Linked DNA regions of Macaca fascicularis. The protein of the gene in region 1 purifies or fractionates together with the protein of each later gene. This does not show direct contact. Links are inferred from orthologs where the notes say so. Each region holds a gene or a part of one and is shown on either strand. Other genes may lie near its edges.

Evidence for each region.
Region 2: the proteins of NCBP2 (region 1) and PHAX purify together in Homo sapiens (affinity purification with mass spectrometry; 5 studies listed by BioGRID and IntAct, with this or other methods). This does not show direct contact. The link is inferred for Macaca fascicularis from reciprocal best matches to the Homo sapiens genes NCBP2 and PHAX.
Region 3: the proteins of NCBP2 (region 1) and KPNA2 purify together in Homo sapiens (affinity purification with mass spectrometry; 4 studies listed by BioGRID and IntAct, with this or other methods). This does not show direct contact. The link is inferred for Macaca fascicularis from reciprocal best matches to the Homo sapiens genes NCBP2 and KPNA2.

Annotation. Positions count from the first base shown.
Region 1 is NC_088376.1:2,355,893-2,361,988, reverse strand, and holds the start of NCBP2 (nuclear cap-binding protein subunit 2), read left to right. Parts: upstream 1-2,141; 5' UTR 2,142-2,193; coding exon 2,194-2,271; exon of another isoform or gene 2,272-2,327; intron 2,328-2,502; exon of another isoform or gene 2,503-2,573; intron 2,574-2,825; exon of another isoform or gene 2,826-2,979; intron 2,980-3,120; exon of another isoform or gene 3,121-3,296; intron 3,297-4,465; exon of another isoform or gene 4,466-4,615; intron 4,616-5,213; coding exon 5,214-5,395; exon of another isoform or gene 5,396-5,434; intron 5,435-6,096. Other genes in the region: protein NCBP2AS2, read right to left, coding at 1,678-1,977. UniProt on the Homo sapiens protein: Component of the cap-binding complex (CBC), which binds co-transcriptionally to the 5' cap of pre-mRNAs and is involved in various processes such as pre-mRNA splicing, translation regulation, nonsense-mediated mRNA decay, RNA-mediated gene silencing (RNAi) by microRNAs (miRNAs) and mRNA export.
Region 2 is NC_088380.1:133,171,508-133,177,355, reverse strand, and holds the start of PHAX (phosphorylated adapter RNA export protein), read right to left. Parts: upstream 4,035-5,848; 5' UTR 4,022-4,034; coding exon 3,926-4,021; intron 1,578-3,925; coding exon 964-1,577; intron 1-963. UniProt on the Homo sapiens protein: A phosphoprotein adapter involved in the XPO1-mediated U snRNA export from the nucleus.
Region 3 is NC_088390.1:74,458,363-74,464,534, reverse strand, and holds the start of KPNA2 (importin subunit alpha-1), read right to left. Parts: upstream 4,035-6,172; 5' UTR 3,931-4,034; intron 2,654-3,930; 5' UTR 2,631-2,653; coding exon 2,556-2,630; intron 2,407-2,555; coding exon 2,269-2,406; intron 1-2,268.

The sequences.
Region 1 (6,096 bases):
AAACAAAACAAAACAAAATTGTGGCTGGGCACGGTGGCTCATGCCTGTAATCCCAGCACTTTGGGAGGCTGAGGCAGGCAGATCACAAGGTCAGGAGATCAAGACCATCCTGACCAACATGGTGAAACTCCATTTCTACTAAAATACAAAAAACTAGCCAGGCATGGTGGCGCACATCTGTAATCCCAGCTGCTCGGGAGGATGAGGCAGGGGAATCACTTGAACCCGGGAGGTGGACGTTGCAGTGAGCCGAGATCACGCCACTGCACTCCAGCCTGGTAACAAAGTAAGACTCTGTCTCAAAAACAAAAACAAAAAAACCTGTTTTTAATTAGCTGCGCATAGTGTCATGGGCCTGTAATCCCAGCTACTTGGGAGACCCAGGGAGGAAGCTCGATCACTTGGCCCAATAGGTCGAGGTTGCAGTGACAGCTAGTATCATGCCACTGCACTCCAGCCTGGGCAAGAGTGAGGCCCTGTCTCAAAATAAATAAATAAATCAGAAATTTAGCTAGGAGCTTCAAATGACAAGACATTTGTATATACAGTGGATTTCCTAATCATGGGTCCACTAACTTGCTGGACCATAGTCTTAGTTTCGTATGCCTGATCCTCTAAAATGAGGGATGAGTCCAGGTAGCTCATTCCATGGCAGGCAGCAGTCTTTTTTTATTTTTGAGACAGGTTCTCGCTATGCTACCCAGGCTGGTCTCATCTCAGGCTCATGCGATCCTCCTTCCTCTGCAGTGGCTTGGATTAGACACAACTGCCACCACGCCTGCTCCTAGGCAGTAGTCTTAATGCCTGATGATGGGGGGTTGGGGAAGGAAGGAAAGTATCAGGGCAAATGTTGCAGAGCTGTGTTAAGGACTTAGGCCCTGGAATCAAATGCCTCTGCTCACATCCCACTCTGCAAGACTTTGGGCAACTTAAGCAGCAGCCTCTGTTTCCATCGGAGTGGCTCTTGCCTCTAATCCCAGCATTTTGGGAGGCTGAGGCAGGACGATCACTCGGACCCAAGAGTTCGAGACTACCCCATCTCTACAAAAAAATCCAAAAAGTAATCTGCTTGCTCATGCGGATGTGGTTGTAAGGAAGCGAAATAACACGCAGAGTGCAATGAGCAAGTCCCAGCACAAAATACTCATTTCATAAAATACATGTTTATTATTGCCATAGGCCTACAGTCCCTGGTATTCTCAATATATCTTGCCTGAGAAGTATCACACTCATGCCTATTAACCAGCTCATACATTTTTTTAATCAAAGGAATTTGGCAGTTGTAGGGTTGTCTTTTCATTCACATCGTCCCTGGAATTAAGTGTCCTGCTACACCAGTGCAGATTCAGCAGCATCTGTCAAGAGTGTCAGTTCCATCTGCAGAGGAAAGGCTCTCTGGCTTCGGTCCGTGGCTCTCCGCGGGTGCGGTGTCTGGACCCAGCCTATCTTCATCTCTGTTAGGCTTCGGGGTCTTTCTCCACACGGTGTCTTGTCCAATCACAGGACTTCAGCGGAGCCTGCGGTCTGGCCTAGGCTCTTCTGCGTGGGATGTCTGCAGGCCAACAATCCGAGTCGGGGTTCGAAGCCGCGCGCAGTGCCCGGAACGACCCCTCCACGTCGAGGCCAGTGTAGAGCCCGGAAGGCAAAGTAAAGGCCTCGGCCCCGCACAGCCCAGGCTTAAATGTTTGCGCCAGGGCCCCTCTGGCTACCTGGTGGTGGCCCCGAACGGCCACGGAGGCCGCGGCGTAGCTCCTGGGTGAAGGTGTCTCTGAATCGCCCAGCGCGGCGGCACAGGGAGCCTGCGGGGCCAGCCGCGAGGTCCTGCAGGCGGCGGGCCGCGTCCTGGCCCCGCAGCTGGGCCTGCAGCAGAGCGAAGGCCGTGAGCTGCGCCGCACGTCGGATAGGCCGAGACTCGGACAGACGTTCCACCAGCTGCGGGCTGTGCAGCAGGGCCGCCAGCAGCCGCCGAAGCACCATCTTCCCCAAGCGCCCGGGAATCCGACCTCGCCGCCCTAGTCTTCCGCCCGGCGGCGCCCGACCCGGACGTCATCTGCGCCCGCGCAGCTTGATGACGACACTGCCGCCCTCGGATTGGGTCCAATGAGATGCGCGCTTCCGCGCGTTTCCGCTTCCGCCACGGCAGACGCCACCTCGTGCCGGGAATCGCCGCGTCCTCGTCCGCTTCTCTGCGCTATGTCGGGTGGCCTCCTGAAGGCGCTGCGCAGCGACTCCTACGTGGAGCTGAGCCAGTACCGGGACCAGCACTTCCGGGTGAGGGAGGCCGGGCCGCGAGAGGGGAAGGCCCTGGGCCAGAACGCTGAGAAACGGTTTGCTCTTGTCTCATTGTGTCGCCTCCCGTTCTGCTGCAATCCCCAAACGCCAAGTGGGGCCCCGGTGCCGGCTGGGGAGGCAGGGAGCGGGTGCTGGGGGGGCGCTTGGACATCACTGAAGCCGCTGGCTCTGGAAGACAGGGCATTTGAGGCTCGCTTTCCTGTTCCCTCCAGCCGCTCCCTGCACCCGAGCCGGTGCCGAGAGGCCTGAGCGCTGATGGTAGTGGCGGCTCCCGTTTCCAGGTTGTACCTCGCAGATGGCTGCGTAACAAGGGCGGGGTGCCCTTCTCTCTCCCAGAGTGTGCAGAGGCGCCTTCTTGATGCAGATTCGGGGCTTTTTACGTTCTTTTTTATTTTTTTTATTTTTTTATTTTATTTTTTTTTTTTTGAGACGGAGTCTCGCTCTGTAGCCCAGGCTGGAGTGCAGTGGCCGGATCTCAGCTCACTGCAAGCTCCGCCTCCCGGGTTTACGCCATTCTCCGGCCTCAGCCTCCCGAGTAGCTGGGACTACAGGCGCCCACCACCTCGCCCGGCTAGTTTTTCTGTATTTCTTAGTAGAGACGGGGTTTCACCGTGTTAGCCAGGATGGTCTCCATCTCCTGACCTCGTGATCCGCCCATCTCGGCCTCCCAAAGTGCTGGGATTACAGGTGTGAGCCACCGCGCCCGGCCTACGTTCTTTTTTAAATCGGCGAAGCAGTGCCCTTCTCTGGGAGGATGGTGTTAGGGAAGCTGTACGCGGTGCGTGGGAGACACAAGTGAAGTCCTCACTCCGCCCTCGGGGAGGCTTCGGAGTGGGGAGGGGGACCCGCCAAGCTGGGCACTTTGAGGGTGTTTGGATGTGAAGATCGGAGAATTGCTGGATTTCAGAAGAGAGAAATTTTTAGTCCGGACTATATCACAGTATGTTTTGTGGAAAAAGGGGAGGCCGCAGATATACAAAGTAGGCTTTTCAGTATCAGCAAAGGTAGGGATGGAATACGGTTGAGGGGTGGCGGCGCGGGACTCATTAACCCGGTTATTTAGTAAACATTTGTTGAGTGCTGTCACCAAAGCCTTGTGCTAAACCCTGGGGGGAAGGGAAGACAGTTTCTGCACTCTGCGAGCTCATAATCCCCTGTAGTGTGGATTATCAAAGAATCTAAGGTAGAAGTGAGTTAAAAGAGAGGCTGTGAGAATTCAGAAAAAGGGGAGAAATCCCCTTGTGACTGGGAAATGAGGGGGCGCATATAGCAGAGGTCAGTGTGGAGAACGTGTGAAATATGTTACTAGAGTAGGGAAAAGGAAACTTTGACGCCAAATTAGGGAAGCTCTGAAATTTATTCAGTCGAGGCCGGGCACGGTGACTCATGCCTGTAATCCCAGCACTTTGGGAGGCTGAGGCGGGTGGATCACGAGGTTAGGAGATCGAGACCAGACTGGCCGAGATGGTGAAACCCCATCCCTACTAAAAATACAAAAATTAGCCGGGCGTGGTGGCGGCGCCTGTAGTCCCAGCTACTCGGAAGGCTGAGGCAGGAGAATTGCTTGATCCCGGAAGGTGGAGGTTGCGGTGAGCCAAGATCGCGCCACCGCACTCCAGCCTGGGCAACAGAGCGAGATTCCTACTTTAAAAAAAAAAAAAAAATTCGGTCAATTTATTTTATTTTTTGAGACAGAATCTCGCTCTATTGCCTAGGCTGAAGTGCAGTGGCGCAATCACGGCTCATGCAGCCTCAACCTCCTGAGCCCAAGTGATCCTCCCCACCTCAGCCTCCTGAGAAGCTGGGACCACAGGCTCTCACACTACATCCGGCTAATTTTTTGTAGAGACAGGGTCTCCCTGAGTTGCTCAGGCCGGTCTCAAACTCTGGGACTCAAGCGATCCACCAGCCTGGGCTTCCCAAAGTGCTGGGATTACAGACGTGAACCACTGACCCCGGCCAGTCCAGGTTTTAGATGCTTAAGTGCCAGGCATGATTTGCACTTTTTTTGAGACGGGGTCTGGCTCTGTCACCCAGGCTGGAGTGCAGTAGCACGATCTCGGCTCACTGCAAGCTCCGCCTCCCGGGTTCACGCCATTCTCCTGGCGAGCTGGGACTACAGGCCCCGCCACCACGCCCGGCTAATATTTTTGTTTTTGTTTTTGTTTTTTAGTAGAGACGGGGTTTCACCGTGTTAGCCAGGATGGTCTCGATCTCCTGACCTCGTGATCCGCTCGCCTCGGCCTCCCAAAGTGCTGGGATTACAGGCGTGAGCCGCTGTGCGCGACCCTGATGAGCCATTTTGGATCCAGGGATTTGTCAGGTGTGTTGGATGAAGCCCAGTTATATTCTTATCTCTGGCTTCATCGTGTCATCCCAGTTTGGAAGCCCATTAGGAAAGTGAGCTCTGTTTTGTTTTTAGTGATCACTACATTTTTTTCCTCAATTCAGAAAAAATACATGAGCATGTAAAGCATCAGAGTTGTTGCTTTAAACAGTCTCTATGGGGTTATTAAAAGGGGACTCTCTGGAAATCCACTTATTTCTCACTACAGAGTATAAAAGGGCCCTTTGTCATACATGGGTCAAGGTCCAGAGTTTAACCTTGGTTGAAAGGATGCACTGCTGAGAAGATGGCGTGTGCAGGGAAAAAAGCCGCTTGTGTGGCAGTCTGGCGTAGGGTGACTTTGCTGTATGCGGTATAACTTTTGAGCCTTGTCTCTACTAAGAGTCTGGACTTTGCATAAGTGCTTCACAGGATGTGAACATCTCCCTTTTTTTGAGCAAGGGATTTGTGGTAGGCTGGGATGAGAGAATTTGATTTCCAAATCAGAATTAATGAATGTTTCTACCATACTTAGAAATACTATTTAAGCAAGGCTCTGAAGTTGCTTAACTTTTGTCTCTCTTTGAAATTCTAGGGTGACAATGAAGAACAAGAAAAATTACTGAAGAAAAGCTGTACGTTATATGTTGGAAATCTTTCTTTTTACACAACCGAAGAACAAATCTACGAACTCTTCAGCAAAAGTGGTGACATAAAGAAAATCATTATGGGTCTGGATAAAATGAAGAAAACAGCATGTGGATTCTGTTTTGTGGAGTATCCTTCCTGTGGATGGAATGTGGCTGCTGAACTGGGGTAGAGCTGAGAATAGTAGCTCATAATCCTCCCTGCACTTGCCCCTACGTTTTCCCTCGTCTCCCTCCTACCTTCTGTCCAGTGTCACTGCTCTTTTTTTTTTTTGAGACAGAGTCTGGCTCTGTCGCCCAGGCTGGAGCGCAGTGGCCGGATCTGAGCTCACTGCAAGCTCCGCCTCCCGAGCTTACACCATTCTCCTGCCTCAGCCTCCGGAGTAGCTAGGACTGCAGGCGCCCGCCACGTCGCCCGGCTAGTTTTTGTATTTTTTTTTTTTTTAGTAGAGACGGGGTTTCAACGTGTTAGCCAGGATGGTCTCGATCTCCTGACCTCATGATCCGCCCATCTCGGCCTCCCAAAGTGCTGGGATTACAGGCTTGAGCCACCGCGCCCGGCCGTCACTGCTCTTATACTATAAAGCTGACACTAGTTACATTCTCTCCTGAAATCCATGCTTTATGGTTGTTTAAGAAAAAGTTTTTCAGGCCGGGCGCGGTGGCTCAAGCCTGTAATCCCAGCACTTTGGGAGGCCGAGACGGGCGGATCACGAGGTCAGGAGATCGAGACCATCCTGGCTAACACGGCGAAACCCCGTCTCTACTAAAAAATACAAAAAAAACTAGCCGGGTGAGGTGGCGGGCGCCTGTAGTCCCAGCTACTCGGGA
Region 2 (5,848 bases), on another chromosome or scaffold:
GACACCAGCCTGGGCAACATAGTGAAACTCCTAATTTTTTTTTTTTTTTTTTGAGATGGAGTCTAGCTCTGTTGCCTACCCTGGAGTGCAGTAACACAATCTCGACTCACTGCAACCTCTGCCTCTCAGGTTCAAGCAATTCTCCTGCCTCAGCCTCCCAAGTAGCTGGGATTATAGGTGTCCACCACCATGCCCAGCTAATTTTTGTATTTTTAGTAGAGACGGGGTTTCACTGTTTTGGCCAGGCTGGTCTCAAACTCCTGACCTCATGATCCACCCACCTTGGCCTCCCAAAGTGCTGGGATTACAAGCGTGAGGCACCGTGCCTGGCCATCTTTTTTTTTTTTTTTTTTTTTAAATTAGCCAGGCATCATGGCCTGAGTCTGTAGTCCCAGCTACTTAGGAAGCTGAGGTGGAAGAATCCCTTCAGCCCAAGAATTCTAGGCTCCAGTGAGGTGTGATTGTAGCACTGCACTCCAGCCTGGGCAACAGAGTGAGATCCTCTCCCCTCCAAAAAAAAATAAATTAGGCCAGCTCTTGGCTCACGCCTGTAATCCCAGCACTTTGAGAGGCGAAGGCGGGTGGATCCCTTGAGCTCTGGAGTTTGAGAGTAGCTTGGACAGCATGGTAAGACCCTGTCTCTACTAAAAATACAAAGAATAGTTGGGTGTGGGGGTGCGTGTCTGTGGTCCCAGCTATTCAGGAGGCTGAGGTGGGAGAATCCCTTGAGCCAGGAGGCGGAGGTTGCAGTGAGCAACTAACTGCACTCCAGCATGGGTGACAGAGCAAGACGCTGTCTCAAAAAAAACAAAAAGAAAAAAGAAAAAAGGAAAAAGAAAAAGAAAAAAAAAATCTCAAAAAAAAAAAAAAAAAGAGGGGAACATATCATTAAAGTATTTGGCATTTATTTCCTGTAAATAGAAGCCATCTGGTCAAGTACTTATTTGTAATTCAAATGTTCACCTGAATGAAATTTCATCAGCCACTTTCTCTTGAGAATCTTCCTCTGTGATCTCATATCGACCTTTATAGTTCATTTCTGGTCTGTTCCCCAGCCTGTCTTTGACAGGTCGTTTCCTTTTGAGATGACCTTGCCCATTTTCCTCTTCCTTTGATCCCATTTTTTTGCCACCGTGCATATATTCATCTAGTTCCTTGTCTAGATCTTTTGTATGCTCTTGAGATTCCCTCCTAAGTTTCTTAGCAAGCAAATAATTGTAGGTCTCGGATTGCCTGCTTCTGTCAATAGTGCCCTCCATTCCCAAGATACCAAGTTCAGTGGCCACTGCATCTTGATTCTGTTCCTGCAGCACAGCACCCCATATGTTGTTAATCTTCTTTCCTCCAGCAACAGGTGGTTTCTGACTGCTCTGGCCAAACTGAAAAGGCTCTGGTTTGGGAGGAGGGTTAAAACATTTCTGTCGTTTGCGTTTCCAAAGACAGCTATCATCATCTGAATCAGAAAAACTCTCTTCACTTGAATCCACGCTTTCAACAGCTCGATAATGTGATACTGGCGCACATGTCGTTGCTGTGTTCTGGAAGGCCCTCGTAGCACTGTCGCCACCTAGCACTTTCTGCAAGTGAAAAGAAACACAATCCATTTCACAAAACACATAAACTCCACCTACCTAATTTTTAAAAATTTAGAGATTCAACTGCGCCATTCCAAAAGGAACTGATCTTCAAAGACAAGTCTGAGACCAATCAAATCCTTACTTTTCTAAGTTCCACATGGAATTCGCCAATTTAAAAGCCACAAATTCTTATCTTTACAACTAATGCAGCACTTTGTTCTAAGATATCCTTTTACTATATTACCAAAGTTCTTGTCACCTTTAAAAGATTTCAAACTTTTCAGTTATTGTCAGAATGTTTTAAAATGACATACATAATAATTGTTACTTTTTTTTTTTTGAGACAAAGTTTTGTTCTGTGGCCCAGGCTGGAGTGCAGTGGAGCAATCATGGCTCACCGCAGCCTCAACCTCCCAGGTTCAAGCAATCCTCCTACCTCAGCCTCCTGAGGGACCCTCACCATAACCAGCTAATTTTTTTTTTTTTGCATTTTTTGTAGAGATGGGGTTCTGCCATATTGCCTAGGCTGGGCATGATTTTTTTTTTTTTTTTTTTAGAGGGAGTCTCGCACTGTCACCCAGGCTGGAGTGCAGTGGTGCGATCTTGGCTCACTGCAAGCTTTGTCTCCCGGGTTCAGGCCATTCTCCTGCCTCAGCCTCCCAAGTAGCTGGGACTACAGGCGCCTGCCACCACGCCCGGCTAATTTTTTTGTATTTTTAGTAGAGACGGGGTTTCACTGTGTTAGCCAGGATGGTCTCAATCTCCTGACCTCGTGATCCACCTGCCTCGGCCTCCCAAAGTGCTGGGATTACGGGCGTGAGCCACCGCACCCGGCCTGGGCATATTTTTAAAACCCCACAGTCCACAGCATTAAGTTTATTTACCAAGTCATGGGTCAATTTATGTAAAAACAACCTGAGATTGAAAAACAAAATATCTTGGTACTAATTTCCTAAACATTTATATGCAAAAGCAAGTATTTGTATTTGTTAAAACTCCTACTACGCTGGAAACGCAAGTAGGGAGGATCTATCTCCCACTATCTTCAAATAATGATCAGAGATAACACTTTTCAGGCATTACCGCGCACTGTATGCTCCATAGAATCCTTGCAATAACCCTATCAGTGGAACATCATGCCAATTCCATAGATGGAGACAAAAAGCAGTTAGGCTAAATAAACCTGCTGTAGGTCACACATCGGTGGCCCCAGGATCTGAACACAGGCAATCTGGCACCAAAGCCCCCTCAAAGAGGTTGCTACCTACTAAGGCAGTCAAGACAAATTACCGTTTAGAAAGCAGGGAAGCTGGGCCCGGCGCGGTGGCTCGCGCCTCTAATCACAGCACTTCGGGAGGCCGAGGCAGGTGGATCACTTGAGGTCAGGAGTTCAAGACCAGCCTGGCCAACATGGAGAATCCCCGTCTCTAATAAAAATACAAAAAGCTAGGCTGGGCGCGGTGGCTCACGCCTGTAATTCCAGCACTTCAGGAGCCCAAGGCGGGTGGATCACTTCAGGCGGGAGTTCGAGACCAGCCTGGCCAACATGGTGAAACTCCGTGTCTACCAAAAATATAAAAATTAGCCGGGCGTGGCCGCAGGCCCCTGTAATCCCAGCTACTCGGGAGGCTGAGGCAGGAGAATCGCTTGCACCCGGGAGGCGGAGGTTGCAGTGAGCCAAGACTGCGCCACTACACTCCAGCCTGGGTGACAGAGTGAGACTCTGTCTTAAAACAACAAACAAAACCAGAGAAGCTACCACAAAAACCTAGTGCCATGGTACCGCATGACAAAGCTAGGTTCGGTGGAAACAAGGAAAACCAGCTCTTTAAGTGAACTCTGATAAACTTCATTCCTGGGCCTCAGTCTCTGTCTCAGGGAGAAAAGGAGCACCACAGGCTGTTTCAGGCCAATGTCCCCAGATGCTACACATCTGGCAAAATCTGCCCCTTAATGGTCACCTAGCGGCGCTGGAGTGGGGAAGCCCTAAGTTTAGAAAAAAACAAAGAGCGGTAGGTGGAGGTGAGACCGCCAAGAGACAGCCGCCAAGCCAGCCTCCAGGAGGCGCCAGGGCTCGCGCGCCCGGCCTCGCAGGGAGCCGCCAGGTTGGGGCTCGCACGCCCAGCCGCTGCCGCCGCCTCCGCCCCTCGCTGCCGGCCCCTGCAGCCCGGGCTCCGTGAGCCCGCCCGGGGGACGCCTGCTCGCCCTTTCTGCCGCCACTGACCGAGCAGCCCGGTCCGGACCGGGCTCCTAGCTCTCACCCCTCACCCTCACCGCTGCCTGCGCGCTTTCCGCGGCCCAGGCTCGGCGCGCCCAGCCACGATAACGCACCCTCCTTTCACACTCACCGGCAATTGCAGCGTCCTGTCGCTGGGTGCGACCGTCATGTCGGAATCCGAGTCGGAAAGCTGCCCATCTTCCATGTCGCCAACCTCCAACGCCATCTTCCTGCCCTGCGATGAGCTGCGCGGCGGAGGGTCAGGAGAGCACTTCCGGCGGTGCGGCCGGAAGGCCCGGCGGCGCGCCTGTTTGGGCGCCCCCGCACGGAGGCCAGCATGTTGCAGCGGCTTGAGGCGTAGCCATTGCGTTTCAACTACCGCGGGAAAATGAATCCCTTGTTCCCCCAACACTTTTCTTTCGAACTTTATTTTCGTGCAAACAAAAATATGTCACGAATCGCGGTCGTCTGGGATTCCCCCCTTGGCCGTACATCCTTCGCCTGTATGCTCTGGACAAGCCTCCTTGCTTCCATTCTTGCTCCTCCGCTACCCACTCTACATATTGCTTCCAGGGAAGCCTTTCAAGCGGTATAGTCCGCCCTCTGTATCCACTCCCTATCCACAGATGCCAAACCTGCGGATGGGAAGGACGCACTGTGCACCACCACATAATATAAGGGGGCTCGAGCATGGCCTATGTTGGTATCTGTGGGGGTCCTGAAAACAATGACCGGCAGATACCGAGGGACGATTGTACCTTAGCTGGAATCTTCCAAGTGCACCCCTCCTCAAAACAAGGACTGAGTTCTCAGCATGGTGTTTGAAATGTTTGTTTTTCGGTGTCATAAAGAAATAGCACTTGAACATAAATTTAATTTATTGAGTAAGGCCATTTTTACTTTCTGCAGAAAGGGTACGCCCACCAGCAGTTTTGCCAGGAGAGTACACTGAACAAAGGAGACAGGGTCATTTGTAAGCTGAGGCGTTTACCTTACTGCTGTGGCTGGTTTTTATTGGCTGGAACAGGACCTCACATTTTGTATTCCTCGGGATTGGCTAGCAACTTGGAACTTTTTAAAAGAGGCAAAGGTAGAGGAGAACAAAGGAAGGAAGAAGTACCTTGTGGAATGTGGAGAAAGACAAAAACACTTTTAAATAAGGAAGAGGAACAGGCTATGACCTAATGCTTGCTTGGACTAGTATAAGCATGCCAGGGCAAATATTTAGGCTAAATTGTGGGAGATAAGAACATAAAGTACATTTATTTTATTATAGCTAGCAGATATTTAAGAATGTTAGCACAGGTCTTTGAATAAATTTTGCTTTTAAGAGAGGTTACTATTTATTCCTAATTAGATGGGGAGGAAAGTCTTTGAAGAGGAACCTCTATTTTACTTTTTACAATGGCAAACAAGGTTATGTGGACTGGGCACCAGGTCACTGGTCCTGGTGTGTCCCCCTGCCCAGCCGCGGGCGCGCTGAACCTGTTGTTCCTCAGGCAAGCCCTCTGCATTTGCTGTTCACTCGGCCTGGAAGGCCCTTCCCTCAACCCACCCCATTCTTTAAAGATTATCTTGGAATCGCCTTTGCAAAAATTGTAACAGTGAGAAAATTACGGCAGCGGGGGAGATCTGATCTAGCTAACCCCTATTTTGCTTTTAGCCTTCAAGCTGCCCTTAATTATTCCTGGGCTTGGGCCAGTCAGTGTAACTTTGGGAGATATTTAGTTTATAGTTTAAATGATAATAACCCTTCCCCAAAAGCCAACCGCCTTTGTAAAGCTAATAAGAAATCACCAGGGTAGAAGGATAAAGGAGGCTGAATTCTGCTAAGGTGTAGACATAAACCGTTGCCAGTCATTATCCCAGAGGTCACAAGGTACGCAACTTTTCCAATTACTCTTCCAGATAACATCACTATTGTAGACCCTAAGATTGGCATTTTGAGATATCTTTTCAGGTATTTTGCATGTATGACTACCAATGGTTCCACCTGAAGCTCTAACCGCTTCTGTGGTCCCACACAGAAGCTATTGACCTGCTTGAGGACAAT
Region 3 (6,172 bases), on another chromosome or scaffold:
ATATTTATGTTGTGAATCACAGTAGAAAGGTTTGAGAACCAGTGCTACCCGTAATTTAAAAAGACAGTATCCCTGTCTCTCCAGGAGCCTGACGCCTCACAGAGGAAATGTGACAAGGAGACAAACAGCGTAAAACAAGTGGTAAATAGATGGGCTACACAGCATTTACTCCCCATTTTGGGTGCAGAACCAGGTGCTAGAGAATCCTGAGAAAGAAGTGTCTTTCCTGCTAGACTAAGGAGTGCTATAAGGAGAAGATGAGCTTTGAGTATTAGTACCCTAGATATAGAACATAGATAGTATTCAATTAAAAAAAAAAAAAGATAAATGTGGAGTGCTAAAGGAAGCATAATGTGGCTGGGTGTGGTGGCTCACACCTGTAATCTCAGAACTTTGGGAGGCCAAGGCAGGCAGATCACCTGAGGTCAGGGTTCGAGACCAGCCTGACCAACATTGCGAAACCCCGTCTCTACTGGAAAAAAACAAAAATTAGCTGGGCATGGTAGCACATGCCTGTAATCCCAACTACTCCAGAGGTTGAGGCATGAGTATCGCTTGAACCCAGGAGGCGGATGTTGTGGTGAGCCAAGATGGTGCCTTGCACTCCTGCCTGGGCAACAAAGCAAGGCTTCATCTTAAGAAAAAAAAAAAAAAAAAAGGACGCATATTGTGAGAAAAAGATGTAGGAAAGTGCCCAGATGAAAGATAAATTTGAAAATCTAAGATAGGTCTACTTTATGGAAGGCCTTCATGGAGCAGGGATTTTTATTTTACAGATAGTGTCTCACTGTCACCCAGCACAGAGTACAGTAGTGCAATCATAGCTCGCTGCAACCTCAAAATCCTGGCAAGTGATCCTTCTGTCTCAGCCCCCTGAATACCTAGGACTAAAGGCCAATGCCACCATGCCCAGCTAACTTTATTTTTTATAGAGACAAGGTCTTGCTACGTTGCCTAGGCTGGGCTCAAACTCCTGGCCTCCAGTGATCCTCCCATTTCAGCTTCCCAAAGTGTTGGCATGAACAGGCATGAACCACCATGCCGAGCTGGAATATGAATTTTTTTATTTTTATTTTTTTCCTTGATTGTTGCCCAGGCTGGAGTGCAATGGGACGATCTTGGCTCACTGCAACCTGCACCTACCAGGTTCAAGCAATTTGGAGGATGGATTTTGAGGAGAGAAAACACATGTCTAAGGCAGTACTTTAGGAAAAATTTCAGGAAAATAATATATGGCACAGAAAGGAGGAAATGATAACTTAGGAGGCTACCGTAAATATTTCAGAAGGAAAGTCCTGAACAAAGCTGGTGACAAATACAAAAAAAGAGAGAATACCAAAAAAGGCAGAAATAAACCAAAAACGGGCAGGGCCTGGTGGCTCACGCCTGTAATCCCAGCACTTTGGGAGGCCAAGGCAGGCATATCACGAGGTCAGGAGTTCAAGACTAGCATGGCCAACATGGTGAAATTCTGCCTCTACTAAAAATACAAAAACAGACCGGGCAGTGGCTCACACCTGTGATCCCAGCACTTTGGGAGGCCGAGGCGGGTGGATCACGAGGTCAGGAGATCAGAGACCTTCCTGGCTAACATGATGAAACCCCGTCTCTACTAAAAATACAAAAAAATTAGCTGGGCAGGGTGGTAGGTGCCTGTAGTCCCAGCTACTTGGGAGGCTGAGGCAAGAGAATGGCGTGAACCTGGGAGGTGGAGCTTGCAGTAAGCTGAGATCACACCACTGTACTCCAGCCTGGGCGACAGAGGGAAACTCAAAAAAACAAAACAAAAAAAAAATACAAAAACTAGTCAAGCATGGTGGTGCGTGCCCGTAATCCCAGCTACTCAGGAGGCTGTGGCAGGAGAATTGCTTGAACCCAGGAGGCAGAGGTTGCTGTGAGCCAAGATTGTGCCACTGCACTCCAGCCTGAGCAACAAAGCAAGACCCCGTCTAGGGAAAAAAAAAAAAAAAGAATAAACCAGAAACTGGTTGGCTCTGGACACAGTGGTCAGGTCAAGGTACCCAGTTAGCAGCTAGAAATGCAGGGAAGTCTGAAGGAAGGTCAGAGCTAAAGGAAGATCCTAAATCAGCTTCAGTGGATTATGGAAGGCAGGAAAGAAGACAATTACTAATTGGGAACAGAGAAAAAGATCTTCACAGATAGTTACAACCTAAGGCTAAAAATGTTAAGTTTACTGGAATTTCTAAGAAAAGTTCCTACTGATTTTCTGGATTTCACGTAACTCATAAACCAAAATACATTTTTTACCTGGTTGTTGCGGTTTTCCTGCAGCGGAGAAGTAGCATCATCAGGAAATGAGCTTACGTTTCTCCTCTTCAGCATCTGGTCATCCTTCTTAGCTTTCCTCAGCTCCACATTGACCTCTATTCTGCGACGCCTCATTTCCTTGAGAAAAGATAACATGCCGTTTCACCTATCACATCAGTTTTTGTTGCTAAGTGAGGGTATTTTTAAAAAGATCCCTAAGTTTTCACCCCTTTCCAAATGTCCTCCCATTTAAACACCACCACAGGAAAGCAACAGAAGGTACTCACTGTACTGTCTTTTCCCTTGTTCTTGAATCTGTGAAGACGGGCAGCTGGTGTATTAGCATTCTCATTGGTGGACATGGTTATGAGACAAAGGGAGAAAGCTAAAAGATGGGCGAGGAGAAAAATATTTCCTTTATCATTTTCCTTTGTCAATAATAGTACCAAATAAGAATTGAATTATCAAGCATCTACTGAATCCACACCTGTATACTAGAGGGGGGATCATCATGCTTTCAGCACTATGAAATAGCTTTACCCAAACGGGAACTGTCCCCCTTCCCTCTGAAGCGCTGAGACTTCCTGGAGAGGGCTGTCCATCAGAAATAGAATGCAAGCTATATAAATTGAAACTTCCTAGTAGCCATACTTTTTAAAAGGCGAAAAGAAACAAGTGAAACTAATTTCAATAATTTATTTTACTTAACCCAACATATCCAAATAGTATTTCAACATATATATTTCAATATATAAAATAACTGACATCTTTTACATTCTTTTTCCATACTCTATCTTTGAAGTCTTTTGTGTACTTTAAGCTTACAGCGTATTTCAATTTGGACTAGCCACGTGTGTCCACCGTTTCTGACAGCCTGGCTCGATACTCCAGAGTCCCTAATAGTTAATCCAAGGCAAAGCAGGGGAACCAAGTTAACTTACAGCTAAAAATTATGTGCCAGGGCAATAAATTCAGATTCTCAGGAGGCTCGCACTACTTTACTGTCTTTACTTGGCCAAAATAGGTGCAGATTCGAAAACTAAAAAAAATTTGCTTCATCATTACATTATGGTCAACATTAAAAATGCAGTGCCGCATGTCGCATATTTGATTTGCATTTCCAGAGACTAGGAGCGAATGCACTTAATTAGGACGACATCAGCTGTGCGTCATTCAGAAGACGACAAAAGTCAAAGCCCTCCTTACAATTTGCTATCTTTGCTTTCATTACGCTCGCCTACGACTTGGTGGCACAGCCACCCCGGGGCCAAAGTGTCAGAGACAGTGCTCCCAACTGCCACCCCCAGCCCCTGCCCCTGCCCCTACGTCGGGGAAGATGCAACGAGAAAGGGGGAAGCGAGGCCAGGGCCGCCACGAGCCCTCCCGGGACATTCGCCCTCAGGCCTGGCTCGCTCCGATTCTCCCGGCCGCGACGCGTTATGGTCTCCGCTGCCGTTTGAAGAGCGTCGGCGCCCTAAACCCGCAGACCCCGCGAAACTCAGCCGCCTGGTCAATGAACCAGTCGCCCCCGAGGCCTAGACAACGCGGGAGGCTGAGCCAGGCTCGGCGTGGACCCGGGGCCTCCTTCCCCCCACCCAAAGGCGAACGCCGCCCGCGGGCAAACCGTTAGCGCTCGGGCCGAGCCGCCGCCTGAGTCTGTACCTGAGAAGCGGGCCCGGGCTTCCACGGGAGGCGATGCGGGGAATCAGCGGCTGTGGGACGGCTGCGCTCAAAGGGTCCACCTCGACTCAGCTCAAAGACCGTGTGGCTCGTGCAGCCGGCCGGCGCGATTTAAATTTCCCGGTGACTCCGCATTCCGATTGGCTGGTTCGAGCCCAAGCTGTGTGCCCATTGGTGGATTTGAAAAACACGTTGAGAGGGGAGGGAGTCATAGGGCTTAGGGGCGAGTGGGAGGGGGGGAAAAAAAAAAAAAAAGGAGGATGGCATCGCGAGATGAGGGAGCAGACGGGCGGTTCCCGAGCGCCTGGCCGGGCGGAGCGGGAGGACTCCAGATCCCGTCAAGCAACGCGAAGGGGCGGTCCCTGGGCCGTTCGTGTTTCCACTGGATTGAAGCGCGCATGGTCCCTGGGCGTTTTCCTGGGCGAGAGCCTTGAACAAATACCGCAAAATGATTCTCAAAGTCATTATTTTAAAAAAACTTTGTTGTTGATCTTCATGAAAATTAAAAAATGATAATTAGTAAATAAGTAATCTTTATAGAAAGACATATTGCTTTGCATTTTTTTCCTGTTACGATATCCGAAGAACTTGGCAGGGGTTTCTGGCCACTATGGGAGGGAAGATTTATGTTATATTTTTTAGTTTAGTTTTTTTTTTCAATTGCGTCGTAAAAGACTGTATAGAAGCCGCAAATATAGTAACAAAATATTTCTTATTCCTGTTTCTCCAAACACTCAAGTTTTGTATTTTTAAATAATTTCAAATGCAGCAGAATTGCAAATCCTTATCCAGATTTGCCAAATGTTAACACATTTGCTACTGCAATGTCTCTATACATATATATGTATACCTATGCACATGTGTACCTATGTGTGATTTCAATATGTTACTTTTTGAAACATTTGAGAGTTTCAGAATCATGTCCTTTTTCCTCTGTTTCACGGTGTATCTCCTAAGAAAAGACATTCTCTTACATAACCACACTGCAGTCGTCAAATTCAGAAAAACTGAAATTTCATGCTGTTGTTTAGTATGTAGTCTGTGTTCAAGTTTTGTCAATTGTTCCAGTAACATTCTATGCTCGTTACACATTTCTGAATTTTGCATTTTTTGCTATATGCTCAAACGAAGAAACAAAACAAAGATGGTCAACAGAGCATCAGGATTATGGGCCATTTTTGTTTCTGCAATTTTTTTGTGTTCTAAAAGATTACATTTTAGAAAAGTTGTCATGGTTTATTTCTTACTATAAATAAATTCAAACACCAAATTTGTCCATTCTTGCAGTCATTAATGCCAGCCTCATTCATTGTATAGCAGCCAGAGTTCATAAAGGGTTGCACCTACTCTTAATCAGCATAATCCCATCCCCCTAAATGCAAGAATGTGGAAGGAATTCACCCCTAAACCAATCACTGTGAGGCATTCTCTCAGCTACTGAGAATGGTTCAGGGGCAGGCACATGACCTAAATTCATCCAGTTGGACAGCCCGTGCCTTTTGTTTACTGGTTGGAGGTAGGAAAGCAGCCTCTGTTCTTCTGAACTGAGGGATGTGAGTCCTAGAAATCTGAATAAGAAAACTGTAGGGAAACCTTGAGAGGTCTGACCCGCTCTATCTCTGAAGGTTTGCAATTATGAGATCCGATACACATTTCTTTTGTATTGTCAAGTTGAGTTTCTTCTCTTTTTTTTTTTTTCTTTTTTTTTCTTGTCTTTGATACAGGGTCTGGCTCTGTCACCCAGGCTGGAGTGGAGTGGCACGATCTTGGCTAACTGCGACCTCTGCCTCCTGAGCTGAAGCCATCCTCCCACCTCAGCCTCCCAAATAGCTGGGACTACAGGTACATACCACCACGTCCAGCTAATTTTTGTATTTTTTGTAAAGACAGGGTTTCACTATTTTGCCCAAGCTGGTCTTGAACTCCTGAGCTCAAGCAATCCACCCACCTTCGCCTCCCAAAGTGCTGGGATTACAGGCCTGAGCCACCATACCAAGCCAAGTTGAGTTTCTTTTGCTTGAAAATACTGACTACTATGTGTCCAGAAGTGTTGAGTGTTTACCATGTATTAATACACTTGATCTTCACAACTGTGAGGTAGTACTGTTATTTGCTCTATTTCACAAAAGAGAGCACTGAATCACAAGTGTTTATGTAACTTGTCCAGGGTCACACAGCCAGTACATGGCAAAGACAGGATTCAGCCATAACAGATCCTGGTTCC